Linked DNA regions of Mytilus edulis. The protein of the gene in region 2 binds, or shares a complex with, the protein of the main gene of each other region. Links are inferred from orthologs where the notes say so. Each region holds a gene or a part of one and is shown on either strand. Other genes may lie near its edges. The genes, in order: integrin alpha-8-like, basement membrane-specific heparan sulfate proteoglycan core protein-like, LIM and senescent cell antigen-like-containing domain protein 1 and integrin beta-PS-like.

Evidence for each region.
Region 1: basement membrane-specific heparan sulfate proteoglycan core protein-like (region 2) and integrin alpha-8-like share a complex: the UniProt entries of both Caenorhabditis elegans proteins name them as parts of the integrin containing attachment complex. The link is inferred for Mytilus edulis from reciprocal best matches to the Caenorhabditis elegans genes unc-52 and pat-2.
Region 3: basement membrane-specific heparan sulfate proteoglycan core protein-like (region 2) and LIM and senescent cell antigen-like-containing domain protein 1 share a complex: the UniProt entries of both Caenorhabditis elegans proteins name them as parts of the integrin containing attachment complex. The link is inferred for Mytilus edulis from reciprocal best matches to the Caenorhabditis elegans genes unc-52 and unc-97.
Region 4: basement membrane-specific heparan sulfate proteoglycan core protein-like (region 2) and integrin beta-PS-like share a complex: the UniProt entries of both Caenorhabditis elegans proteins name them as parts of the integrin containing attachment complex. The link is inferred for Mytilus edulis from reciprocal best matches to the Caenorhabditis elegans genes unc-52 and pat-3.

What each region holds. Positions count from the first base shown.
Region 1 is NC_092345.1:85,189,632-85,197,390, forward strand, and holds the start of integrin alpha-8-like, read right to left. Parts: upstream 3,110-7,759; 5' UTR 2,824-3,109; coding exon 2,579-2,823; intron 1-2,578. Other genes in the region: uncharacterized protein, read right to left, coding at 5,075-5,131, 6,255-6,381, 6,981-7,051. UniProt on the Caenorhabditis elegans protein: Required for muscle development probably through the regulation of the actin-myosin cytoskeleton. Component of an integrin containing attachment complex, which is required for muscle maintenance.
Region 2 is NC_092356.1:15,117,896-15,125,870, forward strand, and holds the start of basement membrane-specific heparan sulfate proteoglycan core protein-like, read right to left. Parts: upstream 3,261-7,975; 5' UTR 2,992-3,260; coding exon 2,887-2,991; intron 1-2,886. UniProt on the Caenorhabditis elegans protein: Component of an integrin containing attachment complex, which is required for muscle development and maintenance. Probable structural role in myofilament assembly and/or attachment of the myofilament lattice to the cell membrane.
Region 3 is NC_092346.1:66,274,319-66,282,656, forward strand, and holds the start of LIM and senescent cell antigen-like-containing domain protein 1, read left to right. Parts: upstream 1-4,829; 5' UTR 4,830-5,422; coding exon 5,423-5,550; intron 5,551-8,338. UniProt on the Caenorhabditis elegans protein: Component of an integrin containing attachment complex, which is required for muscle development and maintenance. Probably function in adherens junction.
Region 4 is NC_092345.1:41,302,683-41,310,134, forward strand, and holds the start of integrin beta-PS-like, read right to left. Parts: upstream 3,510-7,452; 5' UTR 3,393-3,509; intron 1,351-3,392; 5' UTR 1,339-1,350; coding exon 1,275-1,338; intron 1-1,274. UniProt on the Caenorhabditis elegans protein: Integrin alpha ina-1/beta pat-3 is a receptor for laminin. Integrin alpha pat-2/beta pat-3 recognizes the sequence R-G-D in its ligands. Plays a role in cell migration, morphogenesis and probably in cell-cell interactions.

The DNA.
Region 1 (7,759 bases), on a different chromosome or scaffold from region 2:
ATGTGTCTCTTCTGTAATATTTATTTCCAGATATTTTTCAATAAGAATACAGTATTCAGATTTGATGCTGCCATGAAATAATTTTCTCCTGTAATCACATTTTTCAATTCTGTTTCCACAAATTACACAAAGAGTTTTTTTAGTTGTTGGAGTAAATTTTATAAATCTAAAAAACTTTTTTGGAGTAGAACTTTCGGCCATTAGACACAACAGAAACTCTGACAATGATGTGATGTTTGATCATATGTATAAGTTCAGTGACCTTATCTTTCTAGTAAGTTATAAAATGAAAATAAATAAACAGTATTTGCACAACACTGGAATATCAAGTTTCACTTCCCAACTGTTATCTGAAATTCTTATCAATAAATGTCAATCTTAATTACTCTAAGATTAACAGTTTGGTCAAGCCTCAGACAAACTTTACAAGTCCCTTCCTCCTGCAGATGTCAGTATAATTGTAATCTCCTAGTTATAGCAGTAAAATTATTAAAGGGGCAAAATTGAAAAAATAATAATAATTAGGAAGGGACATGTAGCAAGTCTAGGCAAGATACAAAAACATCAGAGACCTGATCATTGGTAACTTACTTATTGACCATATATCATCTTTTGGTGACCATAAACCACACAACCATACAACAAGGATTGTTAAAGTATTGTACTGTGGTTACTTATATTATCGAATTATATCTGGTAATTAAGATTGGCATCCACCATATTCTAGTATGACATGTAAACACGACCCGGAGATCCATCCATCAAATTTGACGTAATTGCGTTTACCAGTTCATCAATACACGTAATGTTTATCTTATTACTGTGTTCTCAGACTGAACTTTATTTAAAATTTCAACTTTTTCCAGGAAAAGATCTTAACTCATTTCAAATTACCTGCTTTCTGACGGTACAAGCCATGTGAAACATCTTTAATGCACTTGAGTGTTAAACCTTGTGTACTTTAAACACGACATATATGTATATGAAAAAAATTGTCAGATCTTTTTTTGAAATAATGGTTCAAAGGATTTTTTTAGTTTCGTTCTGATGTTGACTTCATTTTAAATGTGGTAACCATGTGTAAGATTATGCGTAAATGTGTATCTGAAGCGATGTCAGAATGGAAGAAATTTTTAAAATATGATAATTTTAGTGCATGTTTATTCCCTAGGTGACTGTCAAATCCCCAAGATAACGCTTGGGCGTTTACTAATATAGTTCTGTTTCCGGACAAATTATCCCATGGAGGTCAAAATGTCCTGTCGAGCGCCTGCAGTCAACGTCGTCATAAATTAGTTTGGATTAGATAATAAATAATCATGGGAGGGATCACATAATCACTTAACTTCCTCGAGCCTGTCAAGTTCATTTCACAAACGTGATCAACTTTACTTAATAGTTTTAAACAATTATAATGCAAAATCATAGCCACCACACTACCATGCAAAAAAAGAAAAAATACACTAATTTTTAACCTAAAAGTGTTCTTTTAAGAGAGTCATAAAATAACAACACTGACATTTATGCCTTATGGTCAACGATGGTAGTGTAGAACTCAACTGATCTTATTTTTCAACTACATCACCGCAATAAAGAGTATTTTGGGGAATGCAAAAGCCTATGATCCATATTTTACATCATGTTGATGTATGTACAAAAAATGTATCCAGACGGTCATTCGGTTAAAAGTTTAGATTGAAGCATTACTTTAATTATTCATCCATCAATAACTGATAGGTTACAATCATTACTTATCTATGCATGGACAATATCTGGAGGCTATCGTGTATCACGTCGTAGAAAAGAAACTGTTAAACATAACAAAATCAAAACAGACATATATCGACCTTTATAAAGAGTTTGATGTTTATTTTGTTTAAATAAGCGTGGCTAAATTAATGTAAATATCTAGCTAACACGTTTTTGACGATTATTTTTCATTGATATAAAATCGTGTACATTTGTTTGTATATGTAAGATTTATAAAACAAGATTAGACGATACATGACAACGAAGTGAATAGAGATGCTGTGTCATTTGAAGTTGAATTTTTCAATTAAGTAAATGGTTGAAAGAAATTGAAGAATGGGGTCCTAAGTACACCAAAAGCATGTAGATGTCATCCGTGAATATATATTATCCAGAGTCAATTAATGATCTATTAATCCGATCACCTGCTGATCGCTTAGGGATTCACCATAGGATTTTTTAAGCCAAGTTTACATCACATAGATAACACATGTTTGATGAGATAAAAGATAATTGTAAAATAATAAACACAAAACATGTGTAGCGTTTAACCTCGTCTTCCCGTCAGATTATAGTTATGTACTGATTGAACAAAAATGTTCATACTACATGTATAGTACATAAAACTAGATAAGAACATGATTGCAGCAACCTCTTACGATCCATATTAGTTTACCTTGCAAGTTTTATTTGTAATTACAATATTTTCAATGTATATTTCATTAGAAATACCATCTACAAATATCATCTCTTCAGTTAGTAATTGATTATTCTCGTAACTGTGGCAACACTTTTCTTTGTGAACTTTAAAGAATTTGTGAAAACTTACCATCCTGTGTTTTGGTCGAGATGTTGAGCTACTGAGAATCCGAACATACTCCCAGTTTCACCTCTTTGAATTATAGCGTTCTTTATATCCAAATTAAAGGCACTAGTTATAGGAATTGCATATCCAAAAATACACACAAACAAAACTATCACAGAAACATCGAAAAAACTATTTTTTCCGCAACTACACTTTGAGAAAAATACCTTATCCATTTTAAAACGAAATAAATAACTAGTTAATCTCATATTTATAAAACCAAGTGATCACTTTATCCAAAGTTGTTTTGTAAGAAGAAGTATTTAATTTCACACATATAATAATTTCATCGTTTTCTACACACTAAACAACAACTTCCTACGGTATCGTATGTGTATGTAAGATATTGGCATTTGTAAGAGTGATCCATTACTGCCTTCAGGGGGTGATCAGGTTAAAGTGATGCACGTCGGACGAGTTTATTGCCCCGTGTGTGTAAAGATCCTAATATAGAAATTGGCCTGACTCATTCATAAAATCATTAAAAAAAAAAGCTCCCGCTGTTGTTTGAATTAGTTTGTGAGAGGAAGTTTTATATTTGATGTGAGATTCCGTCTCCTTGTAAATGACCAGCAGTAAATTGCACGTTTGACCTAGATTTAAAAAGATTTATGAAGATGGTTGACCAATATAATTAATTGAATGTTACCCAACCTAATAACAGACATAAGACATATATTATGGACATTTTGGAAAGGCACAACAAGGATTGACACAACACATTTAACTGATTGATTTAATGTTTTTTTGTTCACTTTTGTTTTTCTCTGGTCAAATTTACAGAGCTATCATTTTTCTTTTGTCACTGTTTGACAAAGAAAAGTATTTATATTACGATTCTTAAACATTTACTTAAACAATATTAAACTCAGTGTAAAATAAAAAAAAAAACATACTTTTGAAATTTGTATGTTTTATTTGATTCTCCTTTAAAGTACACTGAACAGAGATTAAAACAGAAAGAGTGTTTTATGTAGTTAAAAGGAAGTTTGTAAAATAGTAATTCGTGTAAATTTAACGCCGTCGGGAAGATATTAAAGGATTGTTGAAAACTTCGTAAGATGATTACGTATTTTTATAACAATTAACTATTTTTATTTTGACAGATCTGCTAATATCAATCACTTTGGAGATGCAGTCGATTGAAAAAAATGTGAACACCAAATACCTTTACATTAATATAAACAAGTGTCAGCTAGATAAATATCTATATATATAAGATTTTTATTGGGTTTTTTTTTAACACGGAGGATTAAAAAACAAAATTTTATGTATTATTGAAGTTTGAACATTATATTACGTAAGTTATTGCAAAAATAATCATGAGTGAATAGTGAATTGTGGAATTCTACCATCTACGGAGTTTTGAAATTTGTAAACTGGAATTAAATCAGTCAAGTTTGATGTAATATGTAATTTGATGGCTTCAAAAAAATATTTTATACTAAAATAGCGCTGCAGTTACCAAAGATCAGACAGTTGGTTTTCGCCTTTTGGTTGTTTTTTTTCACGATATTGTCATGTCGGGGACATTTATAACATAGTTTACAGCATTTGTTTTTGCTCATTGTTGAAGCTCGTATGTTGGTCGACCCATAATTATTTACATGCTTGTCCTTTGTTCGCTATTAATTTTGATAGTTGGCTCATTTGCAATCCCACCCTCATCTCCTTGTTTTTATGATTATACAACAGAAATGAACAAACTGATGAGAGACTTAGCACCCCTATAGAATCTTTTTACAGTCGTCTTTAAAGAAAGTAGTCAGTGAAACATACAAGCTAGTTTCAATTTCGATGCCTGCTTGTTATTAGTTTGTACTGTTCTGATTGACCATATTTACTTTTAATCTAGAAACGACACTAATTTATAGACTGGGTAGGATCATGGTAGTATTACATGAGCTTAATATTATTTCATTCGTTTGAATGCGATACATGTTTTTTAATTGACCCATGTTGCTCATTTTTCTATCAATTGTATATACTCAAACTTAATCTACCGTGAATAAAATGAATAAATTCAGTTAAACACAAAGTCTTTAAAACCAACAAGTATACATTCATTTAATTGATGATTCCATACGGGTGTACATTTAACATGAATCATTTCTCCATAAATTCATCTTTTTGTCTACTTTCTTTTCTCCATTTTAGTCATAACGGAAATAACATGCATAATAGAAATATCGCCTTTATTTCCACAACGCCTAAAAGTTATCTCCATAAACAAATAACTATAATACAAACGTACTATAAGAGGACATAAAACTATCCATGTGTGGCTCTTATATATGCATTGAATTTTTTTTCGATCAACGAAGGACAACTCCGAATAAAGCAGAACATCTTCACCAATTACACAAATGTATATTATTATCATACGAACAAACAACTGTTATACAAAAATAAAAATGAGTATTCTATAATGACTGTATAGATTTAAACTGCGAGATAAAATTAAATTGCATCGTATGTTCGTACTTTTCCTCTCCCAATAACAAAACGAGTACCATCCTACAAAAAAGTATAAATTCAGTAAATTCATGAACTATAATTACAATAGGGTGTACATTTTTATATATATGAAATACTTATACTTTTGTATAAGGTCAATACTTTTGTATAAGGTCAAATATTCCCTATCATACCTTTTTAATTACTTACATGTTTGAAGCAATTAGCTACTACATTATGTCTGTCGTATGTAAGTGACAGGAGTAAAACGATTGTCTAAGCCTACGCAAGGTTTTCAATCAATGAGTTATACAGGATATACAACTCAAAATGAAGAGTTATCAAGTGACCAGAACTCTTACTGGTATGAATTTCTTTATTGGTCAAAATGACCCTCTTACCAACATACAGTGAAAATATTTAAACTTTGCCCTGAGTGTGTCAAGTTTAAAAAAGCGAAACAGTTTGAATTGACTTTTTTTATATACAGAAGCTTTGTATATATTCAGCAAGTAAACCGTCTCGAAGCCTAATTTCCGTAAAACAATAACGGGCCCCAATGAGCCTGGAAATTTCACATAGAAGGGTACCTATATAACATCAATTTTTATAGCAACAGTAGTATAGGGGCAATGGCGATGTCATATACCACATTGGATTGCAACCAGTTTGATCCAGATCAATAAGATTTTATTTTGTATGGTCAACTCTTTTTAGGACAGCACATCCAACGGAAAGTATATTGACTACTTTCATAACTTGTAGATACTCAAGTTATCTTTCAAATGAACTTTACTTTTCTCTTTCAAAATAATAGTTCCAAAGATAATTGCAAAACACAGTTAAATTGGTTAATAACCGTCATTTAGGCGTACATGAAATAATTCCCATACGTTATTTTCACCAATATGGTATGGCATTAGTTTTCTGTTTTGCTTTTTTCAATCATATTGTCATAATATTGTTGTAAAATGATGCCCTTTATGGGTTCTTGATTAGATTAATAAAATTCTTATCTTATCTTATCTTATCTTATCTTATCTTATCTTATCTTATCTTATCTTATCTTATCTTATACTAGTAGCTTTAATTTGAAAAAAAACCCTCAAAAATGCTCTTTCGAATGATTAAAATATCCAATGTTGACAAAGTCACAAAAATATACACAACATATTATTTTTACCTTTATATATACTGGTACAGCAACCCAAAAGTCATGATTTGGTATAACTCGTTTACCAGATTCTTTACGTATAAATATTTGAACGAGTATTCCGATAAGTATGTACAGAAACAATAAAGATACAAACCTACAAAAAAAAACCACATAAAAATAGGACAAAATAGATCAATCTAATTCAAATATAGATAGCTGCTCGCGTTATACTATATATTGGGAGATCTATATTTTAATTAGATTGAAAAATAGAGCACACGAGTTTTACAGCGTTAACGTTTTGAAAATTGCACATAAGCAGTACTGTATTTATGCAGCACTTAACAAATATAACTTTTTATGTTACTCAGTATAAATATACAGGTATGTCTTTTCTCGTGCTATTTATACTTTGGACATGCATGTCCGTAAAAGAGGGGCGAAAGATACCAGAGGGTAAAGTGACACGACATTTCAAAATCAGAATTTATATAATCGTGCCTTAACTTGATTTAACATCTCTCAACCATCAAAGTATCATAATATAAGAACTAGACATTCGTTTTTTTCCTCCAATTATCCCAGTCATTGGGCCGAAGACGACTTTGATAAATTCACAATAAAAAGGTGCGTTTCAAAACATTTATTAATACCCTCTGAACCTGACAATAATGTAGAAGTGTATACATATATATATTCTAAAACACATGTTATCTATCCGTACCCCGAAATGAAGAATTATTAATAACTTACCCTATACATAGTATAGAGCCTACAGATAATCCAGATGAATCACAGACGTATTTGGACTTCAACTGGAACAACTGAAAAGGGAAAGTTTGCATTATTCTGCCAGAGACTCTATATCATGGTCCCGTAAGGGTTGTAGAATTACAGAGGTTGTCGAAAACATCTGAAAATACAATACTAAAGAAATATTAAGCCTCCACTGACAAACTTTATACTAACACTAACAGAAAATAAGTGTAAATATAATATATAGTGAAGCTTATAATGCTTTAAACCCATTGAACTTGAATTAAAGGGTACAAGATACAGTTTAGTATGCCTCATAACTTGACTTACATTTGGAAATTAACAACTAGGGTCGGTAGAGAACAAAACTGTACGACTAAATTGGGGATTTTATCTTTACAATTGTAAATTTTCCATTTATATGTAGCAACAATTAAGCAGCGCGTTCATATGGAGTATACTAGCATATTTTCCGAGTTGAAACGAATTCCAGAGCGTTTCAAATCATGATTTCCATAACAGAGGGTTGTTGCTTACAATGAAACTATTAAACCAAGGGTTCTGAGAAGTAAAATTACCAGTTCGAAAGTGTTATGGACGCCATTACGAATTGTTAGACGTCACCGTTATGGAATATCTGTGTCTACAGATTACTACAGATATGTTCCAACTTCCAAATGTCAAAACAACAATGCCGTTCGATTTACTAGTACTATCACCGAATGAGAATCTTCGGCGAATGTGTACTTACCATTTGTACTTACAACAAGTAACAC
Region 2 (7,975 bases):
TAATTATGAACAATAACTTGTACACAAATATACATTGACATTCATGTAAAAGCAAAGAAAATGACATGGTCATAACTACATGTACAGTGGTATCTGGTCGTTTTCCAACCTCTGACTTTCTTTTACTATATATAGACATGTACATGTACATGTACATGTATATATTTACTATAGTCGCATATATTGTTTGACTTATAACCACAATTAGACATGTTAGAGGCAAATTCAGAGGTCATGGAGTGTATAGGAACTAGACAGCCATATTTTTTTGCTTAAAATAATCCAAATAAAAATGTTTCCTTTAGCTAATATCATCAGCCCGAAAATTCAAAAATTAGAAGTGAAACTTAACTTAATCTGTCTTATATTCTCAGATGAAAAGTATACTTCTTCAAATTTTTGGTCTTTTGGAAAATGTTGTTTGTGCTGTATTTAGACCCTTCTACAACGAAATTTGTTTTACATGCACACATATAAAAATTGCGGTTTTTATCCAACGCAATCATAGGTTTAAACGTAGTTTTCAATTTGGACTCGTATATATATTTAAGAATTTAATGCTTCTTTTTGTAACTTTATAGGGTTGTAAAAGAATATTGACCGAAGTACATTTTGTATGAAGCGCGGAATCGCTTCATTCTATAAATGTGTGCACGGTCAACGCTTTTACAACCCTATAAAGTTACAAAAAGAAGCATTCAATACTTATTACATTTTTTAGCTAGGATCATGAAAACACGATTTTTATCAAGTTTTTATTTAATTCACCTGTGAACTTTATTGTTGGACCTCGTGTCATCATGAATGATACATTTTATTGAGTAATGCAATTGCTTAAGGAATAGCACGTGCTGTGCAGTTAGCCAATCAGAATAACGAAATAATGAAACATACATCAAATGTAATTATATATATATATATGTAACATCTTACAAAGTGTTATATATATGTACATCTAAAATTGTTATACAGTCATGACAGTGTACAAAAATGGTTGTACAATGTGAACATGCATACAGACATGTACACTATACAGGTCAGTTGATAGCCTGTATACATGAAGACAAATCTGTTACACCATTAGTAGCCTGTAGGAATGTCCTGTTTGTCACTCTCATTGTAAAATCATTTCATATTCATAGTTATTGGTTTAATCCAGATGAATAGATTAACTCTTGCATAAAGATTTGTAAAATGTGACCTCTTATTTTTCATCTGATTATATTTAGCTTTTGACTGAAATAAATTTGTATCAGTAAATCTGTGAATAATTTTCTACTTTAATATTTTTGTTATTAAATGCTAAGGTAGAATTTGTCTTACATAACATTCAAGTTTGACTTTCTATTAATGTTTGATTTTCATTTTAAAAATTATTTTTTGGGAGAAAATATTTTTTGCTTTTAAATTGTCTTTTTAGTTAAACCATGGAAGCATTATAATTCATTTTACTTCCATGGATTAACCAATATGTACATAACCATGATAACATTGCACTTTTCTGTATTTTAATACATTTACATTGTGCAATTGCAATTTGCCAAAAAAATATTAAAGAAATCCATTTTTGAAGATTATTTTATACATGTACATATGTATATGTAAGAATACAAAATACATGAAATACATCTCCTTTGAACTGAAGTGAAAATTAGGTCCTAGAACAGTTCTTGATCATTTTAAGAACAGTGTGTTCTTGAATTATTCCCAGGGGAGGTCCCCATAATTCAATGTACTTATATGACTGAAATATTTTTATTTCAGACAAGTATTGGCAATAGACTGAATAGTCAAAGCTAGTCAGACAATGATGAATTTTATTTAAATTTTGGGTGTGATTTCATATCTGCCAGGCAAATTTTATTTTGGTTAGGCAAGATTTAATATTTGATTTTCCAGAAGTCAGTCACAAATTGAAATGATAACATGTAGGTCAAATTTTCTACTGAAATTGTTTGAAAAAGTTGCCTTGGCATTGGAAAAAGAAAGAAAAGGAAAAAGTAAATAACATCACAATTTGTTTGGCAAGATCTCAAGACATATCTTTTTTATGTCCTAACTCTAATTTGAATACTATTTAACATGCAAAGAAAAACAGCTTTGCTGCTGCTTTAACAACATATCCATGCATAAAAGAAAACTAATTCATCACAGGTGGTTTGTGAAACGATTTTCATCAATAAAAATATTTGTTCTGAAAAGCATATAACCTCCTTGATAAGACTGATAAATCACCTCAGCAGGAAACCAGTCTTTCACATAACAGAGCTAAAGACAGTTATCATTTATAAACATCTGGGAGGCACCAGATCAACAGTTGCATAACTAAATAATTTATTATAAAAATCTTAAGATCTAGAACTCATCAAAGAATTTTTAGAAATATTCACCAAACAAAATTTTGCATTTATATACATGTAAGTATACATATTTCTTAGCAACAGGAATATTAAATTAGTTAGTATGCAACTTTTTCATCTTTTTTTCCGTTTTGAACGATAAATGCACACATGTACATACATACAGATATACTGTCAAATTAGCTATAAACACATAAGTTGCATATTTTTTTTTTATGTCAATTGTTCTATAATATGTAGATACGAGTATACACCTATGTGTGTTTTCAAATATTTCAATAAATAGCATCGCTAAATTGACGTTTTCACTTTATACACATGCATGTCTTTTCCTAAATGGAAACAGACTATAATCAATTCAAACACATGCATCATGTACCAGTACTTATGTAAACGTGTTGTATATATTGCGTTCTCTTTTCAAACATGCACCGATTATATAATATTCTGATAAGATAATTAAAATAATTAACTACTGACTACATGCAGACAAGAATACTCCTTTATCAGCACTTTTTAAACTTACCGATTCTGAAGTTGATAATAAAATTCCATTTAATAAAATTAAACTTATTAATAAAGTTCTGCAGTTCCTTAGGAATAATATTTTACTAGACGAATACATGGTCATATTTTCACTTTCCTTTGGGGCAACAGACAGTAAGTACCCCCTTTTCTTTTCTCTTTAACCGGTACTAATCCAGATGTAAAAAGACAAAAGCCGTGACACACTATTAAAAATGCCTATTCAAATGCATTATCTAATATCCAAGGCCAGAGTTTTTTCCCAGCCGTCTAACAACAAAATGAAAAACAGCTGAAACTGTAAAACAAACTCCTCCAAAAAGCCTCCAGCACTTTCTTTTCTATATTCACTGGTTGAATGAACTGAAGAAAGGCGATGTTATTCGGCTGTTACTTAACTCCCACGTATTAGTCACGCACTAACATCACAATTATTACAAAAAGACTTTGATTAGCTACTTAAACGTGTGCAATACTGTAACAATTATTTTCCTTCAACTTAACCCTCAAATATGTATGATCGTGATACCACCGGACATTTGAAGTACACTTTCTTACAACCAAGTATAATTGATAGAACAGCCCGGGATTCCCCCCTCATCTGCTAAATTGAAACATGTCAATGAGACTTTTGAGATAACCGTTATCTTTAAAATCTGGTATTAATTATACAGTATAATACTTCAACCAGATTAATTATATAATCGGTCTGATAAGGATATTTGCTCTCAAGATCTTCTTTATTTGGATAATTATCTTCGCGACCCTAGGTACTTCATATCACAGGTGCGAAAAAGGAAAAATGTGAACTTTAAATTTGTGTGTATGATATTTTTATCGGCGTTATCAAGTGTGTTTGCGGTTGCCCTGTTGATCAAAAATTTTGGCATGTTAACTATTATGATGATGTAACTGCTTATTAATTGTGTCGTAAAGTAAAAAAAAAATATAAAACTACATTTCATAATATTAAAAAAACTCGGTTTATACATCATCAGTTACAATCCCATTCAATATGAGACAACATTTATAAAATTATAAAATAGCCTTTCTAAGAATAATTCTATAAGAACAATAAATGTTAATTTAAAATATCGCACCCTCGGCATTGCTTTCTTTACTAGCATTTTTTTTTAGACTAGTTTACTTTTTCTGTGGAAAGTTCCATCAAAATTATACGGGACATTTTCTACTGGGCAGGATCTGCATGTTTACTTATTTCGAAGCATCTGAGACAACCCCCGGTTTTCATGTTTACTTATTTCGAAGCATCTGAGACAAATTAACCCCCGGTTTTTCATGTTTACTTATTTCGAAGCATCTGAGACAACCCCCGGTTTTTCATGTTTGGGCGTTTTTCAATAAAAACGTATTTTCTTGTCCTAGCCACTTTAAAAATAATGTGTTTGGTCTTTGCAAGTAATTTTTTGTGCAGTCAGTACATTGAATTAGATTTAACATTTTAAAGCAAAGAAACAGTTAATTTTTTAAAGGGATTGCTAATTTCGTAAAAAAATGTAGAAATAAATGTTATTTTTACTAATATAAGTTCTTTAATAATTCAAAAGTATGTTTAGAGCCAACATATTATAATAAACAGCTTTTAACATAGGATTTTTGATAGGCACTGGCTACGGTTACATGGAAATGTAACAATAATAAAAATATTATTGTTACATTGGAGACTAAATGCCGGAATGTATGGTTGGTTAGAGACGAATGTAACAATAATTATTGAGGCTACGGTTACAGTGCGTTATTGTTACATGAAAAACAGCAATGTACGATGGGACTAGTAATTATTACTAAATGATAAAAGTTGAGGACATTTATTTTATATTTACAATACATACAATAATTACATACAATTTCTTTATTTTTTTATTTACAATGACAGTTTCTACATATCCAGTAAGTGGTTGTTAAAGCATGTTTAAGTCCGACACATTTTTGATGAACGAAATAACGTCCTCCATGGATACATGTATACAGAAGTTCCCAGTATTTTAGTTCACAGTTTGCTTTTGATGTATCAAATTATTTAGAACTGCGTTTGTATAGTTGAATGAAATTTGTGTCTTGATATTGTTTCAGTTTCGTTTCAAACGCATCCCAAATTTCAAATTTTCCACCCTAAACAAAACTGATAATAGGAATCTCTTCATCCGTTGTTCAAAGTATAATCGAACAGTAAATTAAGAGTAGGTGTGTAGTTAAATACTTAAAAGTGAAACGATTGAACTACTAGTATATTTTTCGCCTTTGGCACTCCTAATCTGGTGTAGTATCTTTAAGAACATCAAAACCAAATTTAATATGTAAAACTATGTAAACACCATTTGTTAAATAATAATGTTTATCATTTATCATTATTACAAGTATTATCAAGTACATATAAAAGAATTAAGCAATAAAACTATAGAAGATTTTTAAGTTTAAAAAATCTAGCGTATATTGCTGTTTTTTATGTAACAATAACGCAATGTAACCGTAGCCTCAATAATTATTGTTACATTCGTAATTAATCGGTTCCTTACCCAACTTTGCATTCCGGCAATTAGTCTCCAATGTAACAATAATATTTTTATTATTGTTACATTTCCATGTAACCGTAGCCAGTGCCTTTTTAATTTCAGAAGAAGTGTCCCTAACAAAATGTCCACTACGAAACGAAGTCATTAAATTTGCTAATAAACCGTTTTATAAAATCAATGTAATTTTTGTTTGCAAGAGATATAAACATTAGGGTCTTACAAAAGAAGTGATGCTTTTATAACGGCAATTAAATTGTTGGTAAAAAAAATTGAGCACATCAAATGGACCAGAGTGATACCGTATTTTTGTAAATGTCCACTACGAAACGGGTCAAATCTCCATCAGTATCTGGTTTTAAAATTATGAAAAAAATATCAGTGTACAGCTTAATACATGCTTTGATGAATACAATCAGTCTTGTTACTTTTGCAATAAAGGGATTGTGGTAAAAAAATAAAACATGTGAATACGAAACAAGTATGGGAGAAAAACGTTTCGTAGGGGACACTACCACTACCATGCAGTCTTTTTTTACTCTTTTTTCAATTATATTCGTGCAAAGCAAATACCAAGGGTTAGTTTCATGTAATTTTTATTATGTTTTTATTAACATAGAATAGGGTTGATGTCAACTACGAAACTTTTTGTCCACTACGAAACGGATTTGTCACCTACGAAACGCATCAAAATGTCCACTACGTAACACGAATTGTACCTTCATATGTGAAGTACTGTCTAATCTTCATCGATAAAAAATGGTTCTCCAATTCAGAAAAAAATTAGATTTTCCTAGTATATAAAGTAAACAAACTTGAATGTCTATAGGAAACATTTAAAATTGCAAACATATGTGTGTTTAGAAGCAGTTTCGTAGGGGACTTTTGAACAGTACTCAAATTATGAAAAAAAATATCATTTTAAGGAGTATTTAAGATTGGACCTTTTGTTTACAAACAGGTCTATAATAGAGGTATTCAAAATAACTCTTGAAATTAAATTTTAGACAAGTTGATTCCATTTTTTTAGGTCTGAAATATACGCTTTTATTGAAAAACGCCCGTTTACTTATTTCGAAGCATCTGAGACAACCCCCGGTTTTTCATGTTTACTTTTTTTTTTTTTGTTCTTGTAATGGATTTCTTTTGATAAATAATAAAATAGTGCACAGATGACTAAGTTTATGATATATATGTCGTGTACAAGTTGCGATTTTGTACAGGTTATAACATGTACAAAAATATTGTACATGTTATAATTTGTATAATGCAAAAATACAAGTTATAACATGTACAAAATTACCTCATACATGTTAAAACCTGTACAAAATATTGCTTAAAAATGGTTTTAACTTGTACAAAATTTAAAATAAATTTTAATGAAGTAAAATATATGTCGTGTACAAGTTGCGATTTTGTACAGGTTATAACATGTACAAAAATATTGTACATGTTATAACTTGTATAATGCAAAAATACAAGTTATAACATGTACAAAAGTACCTCATACATGTTATAACGGTGACATCCCATTAGTCCGACAACCATTATTCCGACAGCCCATTACTCCGACAGCCCATTATTCCGACAGCCCATTACTTCGACAGCCCATTATTCCGACAATGCATCTATCTTAAGTTTATAGGTACATTTTCTATTAAAAAGACCAACTCCGTTCTCTATAATATTTGTGGTTGTACGTTTTGATTCCGATTCTTCTTCTCATGCGGGATATTTGTCTCAGTATATTGGAGTTGGTACACATGCGTTTTGCAACTGCTCAGTCCTGACCCTCGTCCCTCTTTCGTTTAAGTTTTTTTTTGGCTTTATCTATCTTCATTTCACTAGATCTTCGGATTCCCCCTTTCGCGCATCAGGGGAGTGAGGTTTAACCACTATTAACTACATAAATAAATATATCAGAGTTGGACAACACTACCCGCCCTCTTTGGTCGCAACACATTCTTCTCCTTGTATGACACTCATCTGAGTTTTATTAAAATTGATTTTGTCGTGACAGTCAAAATGAGGTAAAAAAAGAGACAAATACAAACCAGGTCCTAAAAAAGATGACAAATAGGACGAAATATGTTTTCCGAAAAGATGAGTAATTCCAGCTTCTACCAAGACACCATACCGTGCGATTTTATGAATATCATTTTCGGGAATGTGAGTCCACGAAATACGGAGACATTCAGCACTTCCAATAACAATCGATCAGACATAGTCTAAGAGATAACACTCAATATATTTGCAGGGATACCGATTTTATATCCCGAGCTTATTTTAAAATCTAGAAAAAAAACCTTTTAAAATGGTTGGAGAGGTGCAGGACTGATGAATTACAAAATAACTATTTACGAAAAACAAAAATGTCAGACATGAACTAACGAAAACCACTAGACTACCAGCTACTGACTTGGGACAGGCACATTACGAACATGGCAGGGTTAAAAATTAGTTGAAAAGGGCTTAACTTATCAGATCTATACAAAGCACATACACTTTTAACACTTATACATACCGGACGTGGACATGGCTTAACAACCACAAAAATAC
Region 3 (8,338 bases), on a different chromosome or scaffold from region 2:
TAATTTAGCTGAAATTTAGATTTGTCTCCCTGTGATGTCTCTTGCGTCTTGACAGAATCTGAACTCAAAATGTGCATCATGTTGTTCTCCTTTTTTTCAACTGGTTATTATTTATCATAAAATGATTATATGTATACAAATGTTGCATATTTTAGACTGTCACTTTTGCATGCAAAACCAAAGATTCATTCGGAAGAAGATATGTTTTAGTAGAATTTATAAATCTGTAGTGAACGTTTTTTTTCTTCTGTTCAAATAAAACATTTATACATTCAATCAGAGTTTTCGTTGGTTGAGTAAAGAATACCCCGTTGGCGCCCCTGTATTGTGTATTATCTTGTTTCAACATGACCTTATATGGCCCCGGATGTGACGTAATTGTCCCGCCATGTTGAACTGAACGTCCCAAGAAAGTTACAGAAGTGAGACATTTAAGACAAAAACAGCGATAATCGGCCTGTATGACTGGAAGGTCGGCATAACTCATATTAGTTTAACAATTTAAATTCTTAAATAACTTAATCCCTGATATTGAGATTACAGAACTTTCTATTCAATGCCAATAATGGTCAATAATGGTGCTTTGTTGGACCATTTTTATCAAAATAACAGAATTTTTACGAAATATTGTAAAAGATTTGAGTGAAAATCCATGAAGATTTTGATTTTTGTCTGATGTAATATAGTAACTATTAGCCCATATTCGTACATGTTCTCATAAAACTGTACAGTTGTTATAATAATCCTATTACAGTTTTGTTTTTCTAAGAAAAAATAAAAGGTGACATCTTGTTGGTACCGTTACCATTATTCCGTCCGCCCATTACTCTGCAATATATTCAAATTTTTCCAACAGCCCATTACTCGGACATCCCAATATTTCAACATACCATTATTCAGACAGCCCATTACTCTGACATCCCAATATTCCGACAGCCAATTATTCTCACAATGCACCTGTCATAATATCATGGCTGAATATTTGTTTCAATGCCTTGGAGTTAATACACTAGCTGCAGAAGCATAGCTCATAGGTCCTTATGTTATTTGTTAACTTTGAGCGGACCATAAAACTACAGATTTTTCCTATTTCAAAACGTTCAGAATTGCGACCCAAGTTCAGGTCACACATATTTCCTAAAAAAGATTGTTAACAATCCATGCTACATGAATTTCTGTGTCATTTTGGTTTCTTGTGGACGGTTGTCTCATTGGCAATCATACCACATCTTCTTTTTTTTAAAAGCTAGTCAATATATATAGTTTGTTTCATTAGATATTTTTTTTAGGATAAGAAGTACCTACAAATTTATGTTTGAATATTTATTTCCTTAACACTATTATTTGTATGCATTCTCCACCTATTTTGTTCAGCCATATTGAATCTTGTTGTGGCGTCTCACCTATTGCTGTGTGTTTGTGTTTCTACATTGGCTAGAGGTATAGCCTATTAGGGTAGGGTTGAGTTCTCACAAAACATTTTAACCCTGTTGCAAGGGTGTGGAAATGGAATGCATGACTCGCCCGACTCGTTTGATCACCTGGTCAAGTGACTTTTTTGTCTGGGTTGCCCATGGACAAGTTAAATTCATACAAAAAAATATAATTATTTTCAAAACTTATAAAGAAGTTTAATTTTATGTAAAAGAAACCAGTGATAAACAAATAAAACATATACATTTTTTTGTATATTTAAGTCAAAACATCAATGTTCACAACAAAAAAATTAAATAACACTGGAAAAAGATTGATTACCCAATTAAAATAAAATAAGTATGCAAACCCGGGTCTTGTAAATATGGCTTTGTCCTTGTCCATTGACCCGGGGTATCGTCTTCTAGGTTTTATCCATCATTAAACAGAAGTGTCATTTACCTTTTTTTAATAAGAAAGATAAATATTTAATAAAACTACTGGGCAATCCAGACAAAATCGACAGGTCATTAAAAAATGTAAAACGCAGGCGGAGACGGACTAAGAGTGAGAAAAAAAACGAAAGCAAAAATTTCAACCATCTTGGTTAGCAGAGTTCCCCTGGAATTTTTGTATAATATGTATAAAACATCCAACACTTGCCGATCAAAAGTCAACTCTATTTGTTGGAAAAGTAGAAAATACAATGTAGATGGGACACATTAACTGCCAATCAACTTTCAGAAAAACACCAAGCTTGTCAGTTTAAAGAAACAAATAAAATAAAACAGGTTTCTGGGGAAATGGACAAAGCTGCGGCTAAGGTCAATCAGTCTTAGGTTGATAGGTAGGAAAAACTCTTTAATACAGCATATGCAGTTGTCAAAAACAATCGACCATTTTCTGACTACAGTTTTATATGTGGTGTGAGATTTCCTCACTGCATTGAAGACCTATGATGACTTTTAGCTGTTATCTGCTCTTTGGTCGGGTTGTTGTCTCTAACATATTCCCCATTTCCATTCTTAGTGTAATACTGTTTACTTTATGTACATTGTAGGTTATTAGTCCCCTACTGACAAAGTTGAATGCGACCTAAGGTTTTCATTCCTTTTGTCTGTCCATCTGTCATTCCAGAAAATCAGATTATTTTTCTTCATGCTTGAAGATATTGATCTCAAAATTGATGTATAGTTTTCATGACAAGTTACAGATGTACATGTACAAATGTAGTTATTATTTTGTCCCTGTCTAATGATTTTGTGCAGAGGTATATGGACTTTTGACTTTGAAAATTCACTGAAATAATCAGTTTTCCACATTTTTTTCCATCATGCTTGAGTCGGCTGCGGTGGCTGAGTGGTCTAAGTAGTTACATGTACATGTAATCACTAGCCAGTCAACACTGAGGTTGTGAGTTTCGAACCCACTCTTGTGGAGGCACTTGACTCAAATTTTACATACATTGTAATGTATTTGACTAGGATTGTCAGTTTTCCTACCGAAAGTCAGTGGTTTTCTCTGGGCACTCCGTTTTCCTCCCCCAATAAAAACTGTCCATGGCCACCACCAAGTAGGCCAAAAGCAATGCTGAAAATTGACGTTCAAACACAAAAAATCAAAAATGAAATTCGTGCTTAAAAGTATTGATTTGAAAATTGTGTGTACATGTACATGTAGTTATATCATGACAAGTTACAGATCAATTTCTAATTTTGTTCAGAGTTATGGTCCTTGGACTAATAAAAGTACCAGGGCCGTAACTAAAATGTGCCTCCCCTAAATTTTCTACACCAAATTTTTGTTTTTGAAGTAATAAAATAAAATATTGACAATGTGTACACGAAAAACTTAAATTTGTATTTTAAACAACACACATTTACAGTTTCAACAGTGGTATCATGATACGTGATATATCTGTCATTCCCCGGATTTTTGATTGGAAGTGAACCATTTCGGTATTTGTTTTAGTTTTTTTTTTCGAGTGGCCATCCATCTGTTATTCACTAGTTTTTCCTATGTCGTACGAGAACGCATATGAAACTTTGCTTTCGACAATTTTAAATAAAACTTAAATAATCACATTTATTTAGGGGCTCAAGCAGAGGAAGTTCCCTTTGTATTATGAATCGTTTATGATATCAGAACTACGTTATCGGCTGAAGCAGCTGCTGGATATTTTTTTTAACGTGTCTAGTCAGTCAGTACATCTGTCAATCGTACATTGCACAAGAACATAATGGTCAATGCCTTAGTCGTTAAACACTCCCATTCATGTAGTTCTATTCATGTCTGTTCAGCTTTCAACAATATTGAAATTCAAGGTCCTCGATAAAAAAAATTCTTGCGATCTATATTAGCTTGCTTTATATGATTTTTTTTTACTTACCGGTTTGATTTCTAACAAAAATATCTTTAAATACAGATAATAATTGTTTGTAAAACCAATTGCTTCCAGGTTCAAGCATTACTGATGAGTTAAAGTAAGGAAATCAAAGGAAAACGGTTGATTTTTGTTAGGCATTTTATTATTTTGAGAGAAAAAAATCAGTGGTCACAATATATTTAATGTTAATAATTATAGTTCAAAGTAAGGCCTTCAAGATGGAGCCTTGGCTCACGCCGAACAGCAAACTCAGTTTGTTTTTGCATAAAAACTGCTTCCAGGTTCAAGCAATACTGACGAGTCTTAAAGTAAGGAAATCAAAAGAAAACGGGTTATTTTTAGCCATTAAGTGAGGGTGAAAAATCGGCGGCGGCCCCAAACTCCTGCCTCCCATGAATTAGAACACTAGCAGTCTGCACCAAAAACTTTTTCAACTCCTAGTCCGAAGACCAATATTCTGACATTTTTCTTATTAATCCAAACAAAGTTTTGCCAAAACTTACTAGTCTGATTGAAATTTTACTAGTCTGGGGCATCGGACTAGTGGCTAACCGTGCAGACTGCACTAGTTACGTCCCTGTAATCAGTTTTCAATACTTTTTTTGCCAGCTGTAGGGGGCTATCTATATATTGCCATGCAATACACACACAATGCTTGTTGATCATATACATGCATATACCCTGCTTACTTTTGTTTGGAAAGAAAAATAGACTGACAGTGATTTGATTCATTTCCTCATCTTAAGGCTGAAATTTGAAGTCACTACTAGGCTGTACATTTGTTAATAAATACATTCAACGATATTTTGGATTTTTTACAAAAGAGAACTACTTGTATAAAAATTTAAAAATCAAAACTGTGAATTCTTACCTCTAATATATGTTGATTGAACATGTTGAAGCCATCATTATTTGATAATGTAGATACATGTACTACAAATGCAGATGAATGTACATTTTGTTTGATGTAAATTTGTATGAATAATAATTACATGTATTTTATCTGGAAAGAATTATGTCCCCTTTGACTAGTAAGTATTTTTATTTCAGGAAATGAACACTTATATGTTGTAACATGATAACATTTTAAACACTCATTATTAAGTTTGACCCTGACTCTTAATGACATCCGAGAAAAACATTTGAGTTATACAACAAATGTATTCTGCCAGATTCCATCAAAATAAACATAAAAACAATGACAAATTAAGGGACCAAATACATTTGTAAAATATGTTAATTTCTTAACTGTTATATCTCTTATGCTGTTCATGTTAACATGATCAACAAATACATGTACATTAATGTACTTAAAAAAATCACCTTCTGCATTGTTTAGTGCTGACATGAACGGAAGACACTTATAATTGGTTATACTTATACTGGAGCTCACTTGAGGTTGAGAGGGTGGACTATAACAACCAAATGTACTTTGTGTATATGTTTATACACTATACTTGTTGAGAAAAAGCTGATGAAGTGACATCATTTATCACCGCTTTCACTTTCTGTTACAGTGCAGTCGGCTGTACACTAAAATATATTTGTTACAAATTAAAGGGAAATAATGAAGTAATTGGAAAATTATAAAAATTGCTCATTTCCTTGTTGACCTTTTGAAATATGGATTCTGATGATGATATCATTAATGACAATGACACTAGTAGTGCTGGTTTTAAAGTTGAGAGTGATATGGATTCTTGTGGGACTCTATCTGATGAGGACCTACTAAACAATGAAGAAAAATTCATGTAGGTAGCTTTTTTTATGTAGCCTATACAAAACTATATACTGTTATCAAAATGGATTCAACTTTTTTTTTATTCCAGGAATTTATAGCAATTGATAAGGGCTTGAATCAGAGAAGGAAATGCATTAAACACTTAGAATTTTATGTTAATGTGTATTTCCCATTTTCATGAAAATTTAGAATAATTTTAGAGATGGAAAATATGTTGTTTTTTTTATGCAACAAGGTCCGAGTCTCCTACTGTATTATTATTAATTTATAAAATATCAACAGAAAAAAGAAACATTGATATGGACATACAACTTGCTAACTTGTTTTCCTACTTTCATGTTCATTTATTATCATTGATCGTTTAATTTTGACATGTGCATATTAACAGTAACTTCCAGAGTTGTGACCCCTGATTGTATGAAATTTTCAGACTATGAAGTATGGTGTCTGGATGACAGGACCAAAAACTATATGTAATTGTGCATATTTTTAAAAAATCCAGCAGTATTGCAATTTTATTTAGATTTGATAATTCAGTGAACACATCAGAAAGTCACAAACTGCTAGGTTTACTTCAGTTTGATGATGGATACATATATATAATACTAGAACACACCCGTGATATCACGGGTCCGTGACTGAATTAAAGTATATAACTATGCGCAAGCCTTATTTTAGTATTAGTATTGTCATCTGAAAAAGTCATGCTGATTATAAGATACACAGTTTTTCTCTGCTTTCAAGTCTTTCTGTTTGAACCCTCGAACTGAAACAATAATATTAATTAACTGGAAAACAAAATGTCCTGGAATGGAGTATTTTTTAATCAACAGCATTGTCCTATATAAGTTATAAATAAAGTTGAATTCTTTGCTTCGCTGTTTTACGTCATGCCCACTTACAAATTGAAAACTGTACCTATACGCCTTATTTTTAGTCCAGATTTTTAGTATTCGTATTGTTATCTTAGAAAGTCTTACTGATTCAAATACTACAATAGGTAACAATTTGACAATTTAGTTGTGTCAACCCTGTGGTTATGACCCGTGTATATAGCATATTAATCCTGAATGGTGGTGAGCCTGTCAGATGCGGAACGTACAGATAAGGTAATAGGTAACAGGTGAATATACTATTGGTATTGGTAGCGGACTCGACCCGGAACTTCTTAATTATTGGCAATATTAATTACGTGGAAAACAAAAGGGCCTGGAGTGGTGTAATTTTTAATCTACACCTTTGTACTATATTAGTTATATATAAAGTTGAATTCTGTGATTCGTCGTTTTTACGTGATGACGGCTGACAAATTGGACCTTGTAATTTTAGTATTATAGATATTTGTATTCTGGAAGAATTGTTAAAATAAATTCAATGAAAAAGTTTTACTTTTAGTCTGTTTCAGAACATGATATTTTGAATATAGGTACATTTGTAAAACTCAATTTCCTTCCCCTCAAATATGTTCATTTCCATTCATCCCAAATTGCATTGGACAGAAACATGTCCTTTTCATTACTTTTAATCATCTCTTACAAATTTCAAAAAATGCCCAAATTGAAATGTGTCCACTTTTATTTTTGAAGAGGGATTCATTATCCCAAGAGGGTAGGAATGTCCTTTTCCCTCAGTCGTCAATTGGTAATTTATTGCTAAATTAAGTTGAAAGTAATGTTTATTGTGAAAAATAAAGGTAAAATTTAACAATTTTTGAGCAAAATACTGTAAATTCAGAAATTACTGTAGCATTTATTATTACGATTATAACCCAGTCACATTTTTTTTACGACCGCAAAAAATTTTGCAATCATATATATATTGGTATGTTAGCGTCGTCTGAAGACGGATGGTTTCCGGATAATAACTTTAGTATACACTAGAACACACCCGTGATATCACGGGTCCGTGACTGAATTAAAGTATATAACTATGCGCAAGCCTTATTTTAGTATTGGTATGCGCAAGCCTTATTTTAGTATTGGTATTGTCATCTGATAAAGTCATGCCGATTATAAGATACACAGTTTTTCTCTGCTTTCAAGTCTTTCTGTTTGAACCCGTCGAACTGAAACAATAATATTAATTATTTGGAAAACAAAAGGTCCTGGAATGAAGTATTTTTTAATCAACAGCATTGTCCTATATAAGTTATAAATAAAGTTGAATTCTTTGCTTCGCTGTTTTACGTCATGCCCACTAACAAATTGAAAACTGTACCTATACGCCTTATTTTTAGTCCAGATTTTTAGTATTCGTATTGTTATCTTAGAAAGTCTTACTTAAAAATACTACAATAGGTAACAATTCGTACAATTTAGTAGTGTCAACCCTGTGGTTATGACCCGTGTATATAGCATATTAATCCCGAATACAACGTTTGGTGGTGCGCCTGTCAGATGCGGAACGTACAGATAAGGTAATAGGTAACAGGTGAATATACTATTGGTATCGGTAGCGGACTCGACCCGGAACTTCTTAATTATTGGCAATATTAATTACGTGGAAAACAAAAGGGCCTGGAGTGGTGTAATTTTAAATCTACACCTTTGTACTATATTAGTTATATATAAAGTTGAATTCTGTGATTCGTCGATTTTACGTGATGACGGCTGACAAATTGGACCTCGTAATTTAAGTATTATAGATGTAAGTAAATAGAAATCAATAAAATTTTAACACAATGTTTATAACCACAAAAGTAAGCTTGGGATTGATTTTGGGGGTTACGGTCCCTAAGGTTTAGGAATTAGGGGCCCAAAGGGGCCCAAAACAAGCATTTGCATGTATCTAATGTCAGT
Region 4 (7,452 bases), on a different chromosome or scaffold from region 2:
AGACATTTTTAGACTTCAGAATGTTATAAAATTTGACAAAAAGAAAATTGTCTGGTGAAATGTGTGAGTATTTTGTATATTATTGAAGAAATTACATAGACATAAGTTGCCATGGACAAAATATACATCGTCTTAACCTTTGAAAGTAATGAATGACCTAACGAATAGTCAAAGGAAATGCCATAAGGCCAGGGTTTTTTAATTTGTTGGTTTACGGATCACCGACCCGATTTTGCCAATTTGAGGAAAACAATTATAAAAAAAAAATTTTTCCCCGTCCGACCCTAACAAATACATTGACCCAGAAAAATAAATAAGATAATCTTTTTATGAAATAAAATGCATTAAACACTAATAGAATTGAAAACACTTTCTGTTGTGAAAAAAAAAAACCCTCAAATTTACGTATCTAAAAATAGACAAATCAATCATAACTGACCTTGAAATAATTTTGCGGAACGAAATATGTGTTTAAAACCCGTTACACAGTAAGTTCATTTCCCGTTTTTGTCATCATTCCGTAAGATGCATAATCTCATAGAAAAATGAAAAAACGTGGAGACGTCAAGTTAAAGTACTAAACATAAACAACTCATTTGGAATTTTCTTATGTCATTGATAATAAAAACAATTTGTCTAATTGGATATAAAAAACGTGAATGCTTGACAACTGATGAACCCGATATCCACGTTTTTCCAGCGGACGAGTCTATTACGTTTTTGACATGTGTGTGGAAACTTATTTTCGTACGTTTTGGCATTTTTTTCTTTATCAGTTTTCGTGCTTGAGGTTCAATATTCACAAAATTTCCAGAAATTGATTAGGCTACACAGATCTGGTTTTTTTTCTTGTTTGAGAAATGACAATTTAATTTTGTATTTTTCCGTGGACACACCCCTTTTTTCACGGAACTCAAATTATTAGACAATGTCATGCGATGATTATGACAGCTGACCAAGAATATTTGATCAAACTGAAATTTAAGAAATGATGACAAACATATTTTTAGAAAGGTGTATTTTTCTGTCTTGAAAGATATTTTTTTTCTTTCCGACCGACCGACCCGACTTTTTCATGGGGAAAATCTGTAAACTAACAAATTAAAAATTCATGGCCTAATATTGTCTTGTGATACTTGATAAGCCAAATAAATCAAAGCAGATTTTCATATCTCTGATAAGAGAAAATATATATATATTCATGCAAGAAATAGAAAACAGGCCACAACCATAAGATAAATGTATATATGAAGTATATATATGTTATAACTTACTTTGTGACAAACCAACACTTAAACAGGATAGCAGTAACACAACTGGTCTCCAGTCTATCTTCATTGCAGAATATTGCTACAAAATAATATAAATAACATAAAAATAAGGAGATTTGATAATGATTGTCAATGAGACAACAACAAAAATACATGTATGTATCCATTAAACAATAAGTCCTTCAACAATGAGGCAACACCAAAACAGTATAGTTAAGATAGCTCAACAGGCCCCAGGATTATAAAACCAACAACTGGTTAAACTACAAAAGAAAAGTTATGTTGGAGTTTATGTACGTACATTTTGTAGCAGTCATGTGAGATAAAGCATGCACTTAGGGTTTCTGTTGATTTTTTATTAGGCCTATACAAGTTGAATGAGTCTTTCATTTTGTTGTTGAAGTTTGCTTGGAAACATCTTGAGCTACATGTACATGTAGTAACCTCTCATTATTAACTTAAACATTAGATACCGGTATGTTACATATTATGGCTGCAAGTACATGTAGGCTGTTTTTAATCAGCTACTTTTAAGCGGCTTGTCATTTTGAAAAGGAACATGTTGTCAGAATGGGTGACTGAGGAGTTTGTGGTGTTGCCAGTGATGAAGGTGTACATGCAGGTGTTTGAAATTCAATAGACAGAATTGGTGATGGTGATTTAGATTCCCGCACACAAACCTATTACTCCAATGCACATGGCTTTTACTTTGGCTCTGTTGGAGGGGGTGGTACATCTGATGATTAGTTTTCACTCTTTTTGGCTGGTGGAGAGGAATCTGGGTTCTATCGCCCTAGTGCCTGTTCGCTCAGATTTCATTTTTTTCTTATTGTTGTCTAGTTGCATATGTTTATTATTTGAGCAGAATATGTTAAAGTTTGATGAAATATCACAAAATATTTGTATTGCTGCAACCAAATTATTATTTTCCCTTTGAAATACGATTGTTATTGCTAGCTATGATTTAAATTATTCTATCATGTTATAAATTTACCTGTATGACATTTTTTTCTTATTTGTCTATACAGTTACTTATGATAAGGAGTTGGAGACATGAATACGAATCTATACACAAAGATCATGATTTATTTGCACCCAGTGAACAATCAGTTATCAAAACAAAACAAGAAACAGATTCTTCTCAATATTTTTTTTTAATTATGTAATATCATTCAAAAAGAAAGGTAATAAAGGTACTATAAACATATAACATTCTGTTGGAAATTTGAAGAAAAAAAAACATTTTAAAAGACAACTTCTACATCATACAGTTACATTTACGACTAAATTTATGTCGATAAAAAACATCCTGATCAGAGTTCTAATCTCCTGACCAAAATTCCCAAATTTCCTGATCTGAGTTTCACAGTCCATCACATGTATGCTAATTAGTGAGACAGATGGAATCTAGTGATACACTGAAAAGGAGGGTCCATTCCCCAAACACCTGTATAAATTACAAATGTACTTTAAATTTGGGCAACTGAAAACACTACTTGATTTAACAAGAGAGACTTATAACTTGTATGTTTTAACCCCCAAAAAATCATTCAAAAGAGAAAAAAACCTTTATCCATGCATGTGCTGTACATTTAAGGAAAATGTACACTCCTTACAATCAATGAATCATAATTTACACCTTATAGCTATTTGTTCGCCATTCCTGGATATCAAACATGTCAAACAGGTTCCCGTAAAAATTTTCATAAAACTACAAAAGTAATTGTTGTATGCATTAAAAGTTCAAGCGGCCCGGTCAGCCAGGATTAGCGATAAGGTGTATTATTTAAATAATATTCATTTATTAAAATAATATTAATGAGTGAAGTTTTGTGATGTGATCTTTTACTAGGATCAATCCTGTTGAATATATCATGCATGTATTACACTGAAAGTTTGAAAAGATAATTTGCATTGATTCTGAGACCATGTTCAACGAAAATATTGTTCCCTTGGAAAAATAAAAGCGAAACTGTTTTTATGTTGTGCGAGTCTCTGAGTCCGATCCAAATTTAGGTAAATTATGCCACAAATCGCACACTTTAACTCAAGAATGAGGTTATCCATGCATAAATTCTTCATTCAACGTTCTTTCAGACGTATTTGAATTAACATATATACCTGTTCTTGTTCAAAATCGAATGCTTTTAGTCAATGTTTATCAAAATTAGTCACTGCAGTCTAAATATGGCGATTCCGGTTTTGTGACGTAAGAGGAAGTGCTACTCCGACAGAAATGCCTATAAACCGTCCTGATAGAAAATCAGCCGGGATCAGTAAAAAAGGAAATTGAGGAAAAGTAAATAATGTAAGTAAAATCTCACATTGATACAGAACTCCGATGAAAATTCAAAACAGAAAGTCCCTAATCAAAAGGCAAAATCAAAAACCCAAACACATCAAACGAATTGATATACATTTTGTAAACTGGCATATTCCTGACTTGGTACATGCATTTTTCTTATGTACAAAATGGTGCATTAAACCTGGGATTACAGCTAGCTAAACTGCCCTCTCGCTTGTATGATAGTCACATCAAATTCCATCATATTGACAACGATGTGTGAAGAAAAGACAGACATAATAGGTAAAAATTACAGGCTATTGGTACTTTACGGAACGGAACGGAACGGAACGGAACGGAATTTCATTTAAGGTATCCAAAGGGGGCATTTATCAAAATTTCGAAAAATCTTTAAAACAAAACAAACTTTGGAATTTCTGTGTTTTACGGTTTTCCATATACAAATAACACAAATGTATACTTAATCTCATCTTCACAGGTGAAATGTGTAATAATGTATAACATCGGGAAATATTCTGTAGATGAATATGTCGGATTGTCCTGATAAATTATCATGAAATTAACGCATTTGCAAGTCATGCATTATGATATCTAGACTGACCTCACGTCGTCCTTGATTAGAGACAGTGATCAAAATGAATCTGATTTAAACTTTTTAATTTATTTTTCCGTTCCGTTCCGTTCCTCAAAGTACCAATTGCTCTGAGGAATTGGTATTTAACGGAAAAAACGGAAACAGACATCTTAAATGTAATTAAAGCAGTGTGATAAAAAAAATTGTCTGACACCTCTTTTTGCATGAGTGGTATGTGTTTTAGATAGCATTTTCGACTTGATCAATAATAAAAAATTTAACACAAAGGCAGGTTACACAAAAAGTCTTTCTCCTTCCATCGGTAATTATATCTTAAAAAAGGGGCCTTCAACAGCCCGTTCCGACGATGATTAGAGACAGTGATCCAGTTGAATCTGATGTAAACTTTTTAATTTATTTTTCCGTTCCGTTCCGTTCCGCAAAGTACCAATTGCTCTGAGGAATTGGTATTTAACGGAAAAAACGGAAACAGACATCTTTAATGTAATTAAAGCAGTATCATAAAAAAAATTGTCTGACACCTCTTTTTGCATGAGTGGTATGTGTTTTAGATAGCATGTTCGACTTGATCAATAATAAAAAATTTAACACAAAGGCAGGTTACACAAAAAGTCTTTCTCCTTCCATCGGTAATTATATCTTAAAAAAGGGGCCTTCAACAGCCCGTTCCGACGATGATTAGAGACAGTGATCCAGTTGAATCTGATGTAAACTTTTTAATTTATTTTTCCGTTCCGTTCCGTTCCGCAAAGTACCAATTGCTCTGAGGAATTGGTATTTAACGGAAAAAACGGAAACAGACATCTTTAATGTAATTAAAGCAGTATCATAAAAAAAATTGTCTGACACCTCTTTTTGCATGAGTGGTATGTGTTTTAGATAGCATTTTCGACTTGATCAATAATAAAAAATTTAACACAAAGGCAGGATACACAAAAAGTATTTCTCCTTCCATCGGTAATTATATCTTTAAAAAGGGGCCTTCAACAGCCCGTTCCGACGATGATTAGAGACAGTGATCCAGTTGAATCTGATGTAAACTTTTGAATTTATTTTTCCGTTCCGCAAAGTACCAATTGCTCTGAGGAATTGGTATGTAACGGAAAAAACGGAAACAGACATCTTTAATGTTATTAAAGCAGTATGATAAAAAAAAAATTGTCTGACACCTCTTTTTGCATGAGTGGTATGTGTTTTAGATAGCATTTTCGACTTGATCAATAATAAAAAATTTAACACAAATGCAGGTTACACAAAAAGTCTTTCTCCTTCCATCGGTAATTATATTTTAAAAAAGGGGCCTTCAACAGCCCTTTCCGACGATGATTAGAGACAGTGATCCAGTTGAATCTGATGTAAACTTTTTAATTTATTTTTCCGTTCCGTTCCGTTCCGCAAAGTACCAATTGCTCTGAGGAATTGGTATTTAACGGAAAAAACGGAAACAGACATCTTTAATGTAATTAAAGCAGTATGATAAAAACAAGGCAGACCCTTCTTTTTTGAATGAGTGGTAAGTGTTTTAGATAGCATTTCGACTTGATCAATATTTAAATAAACAGCTGCGCCATGAGCGCATGATACGCCCGTCGTCTTGTGAAAAAAACATAAATCTTTTTTGAATAACACAGGGTTGTACAGGATGTCATGCTTAGTATATCCTGACTCATTCCTTATTCCCGCTCAATAGGAAGATTGTACAAGATGTATTTGGAAACCCGACGCAACATTAGCCTGTTAAGTTTTAAGCAATAGAGATACAGCGCAACATGTGAAAAAAACCTCTTTTTTTTTACAAAAAACTCAATAACTCGAAAATATAGAAATGAATCATCACCAAAAAGTATACAGATCTTCAGATTAATATAACAAAGAAGTGTGTAAAGTTTTAAGCAATAATCATAAATCGTTTTTGAGATATGGTGCGACATGTAACCCCCCCCCCTTTTTTTTTTTTACAAAATACTCAATAACTCAAAAATGAAATTTTGAATCATCACCAAAAAGTATACAGATATTAAGATTAATATAACTAAGAAGTATTTAAAGTTTAAAGCTATAATCAAGAATCGTTTTTGAGATACGGTGCGACATGTGAAAAAAACACACCCCTGTTTTAGTTACAAAGTGACGTAACTCAAAAAGTTGTAATCTTATTTTCACAAAAAAGTATACAGATCATTTTACCATCATAAGAAACAACTATGTTAAGTTTCATGAAATTTGGATAAGTCGTTCTCAAGTTACGGTGCGACATGTTTACACCGGACAGACGGACAGACGGACGGACGGACGGACACTGGACATTTGTATACCATAATACGTCCCGTCAAAATTGACGGACGTATAAAAAATAACACAATGACAGGTTAGACAAAAGGTCTTTCTACTTCCATTGGTAATTATAAATTAAAAAGGGGGCCTTCCGAAGATGATTAGAAACAGTGATCAAGTTGAATCTGATTTCCGTTCCGTTCCGCAAAATACCAATTGCTCTGAGGAATTGGTATTTAACGGAATCGAACGGAAACAGGCATCTGTAATGTAATAAAAGCAGTCTTGATAATATCAGTGCAAAGTTTTTAAAAATTAATTTTCATCTTATTTCAGTTCCCTTATGTCAAATTTTTAATTCAGGCATTAAAAAATCAGTTTATCCATCATTATTCAAACTAGCTAAAGTCATACCAGTTTTTGAAAATAAATGTTAAAAAATGATGTATTTAATTACAGACTAATTGCATTTTTACAATTAGTATCTAAAATACTTGAGAGACACGTAAAAACTTATTTAATGAACTATACGGACACATATAATCTGTTGTATGTCCTGCAATCAGGTTTTCGTTCGAACCATACCTGTCAAACTGCCATGACAACTTTGTTAGATAAATGGTTAAAAGCAATTGATGAAGGCGAATTAGTAGGAGCAGTATTTCTGGATCTTTGTAAAGCTTCTGATGTTCTTCATCATAAACTGCTCCTCCAGAAATTACAAAAATACAGATTTTCTTATTCTTCACTGCACTGGCTTACTTCATATCTAACTGATAGACAGCAGGTTGTATACATTTCAAATACCTTTTCAGGTGTATTAAAAGTAAAAACAGGTGTACCTCAAGGGTTCGTTTAAGGTCCCATATTATTCTTATTATTCATTAATTTTTTGCCTTTGTGTAATCCAAATCATAACAGTGATCTTTTGGCTGATGATAGTACTATTTCTGTTACTGGTAAAAACAAAAGTTGTATAGCCAGACACTAAATACTGTGTTAGAAAA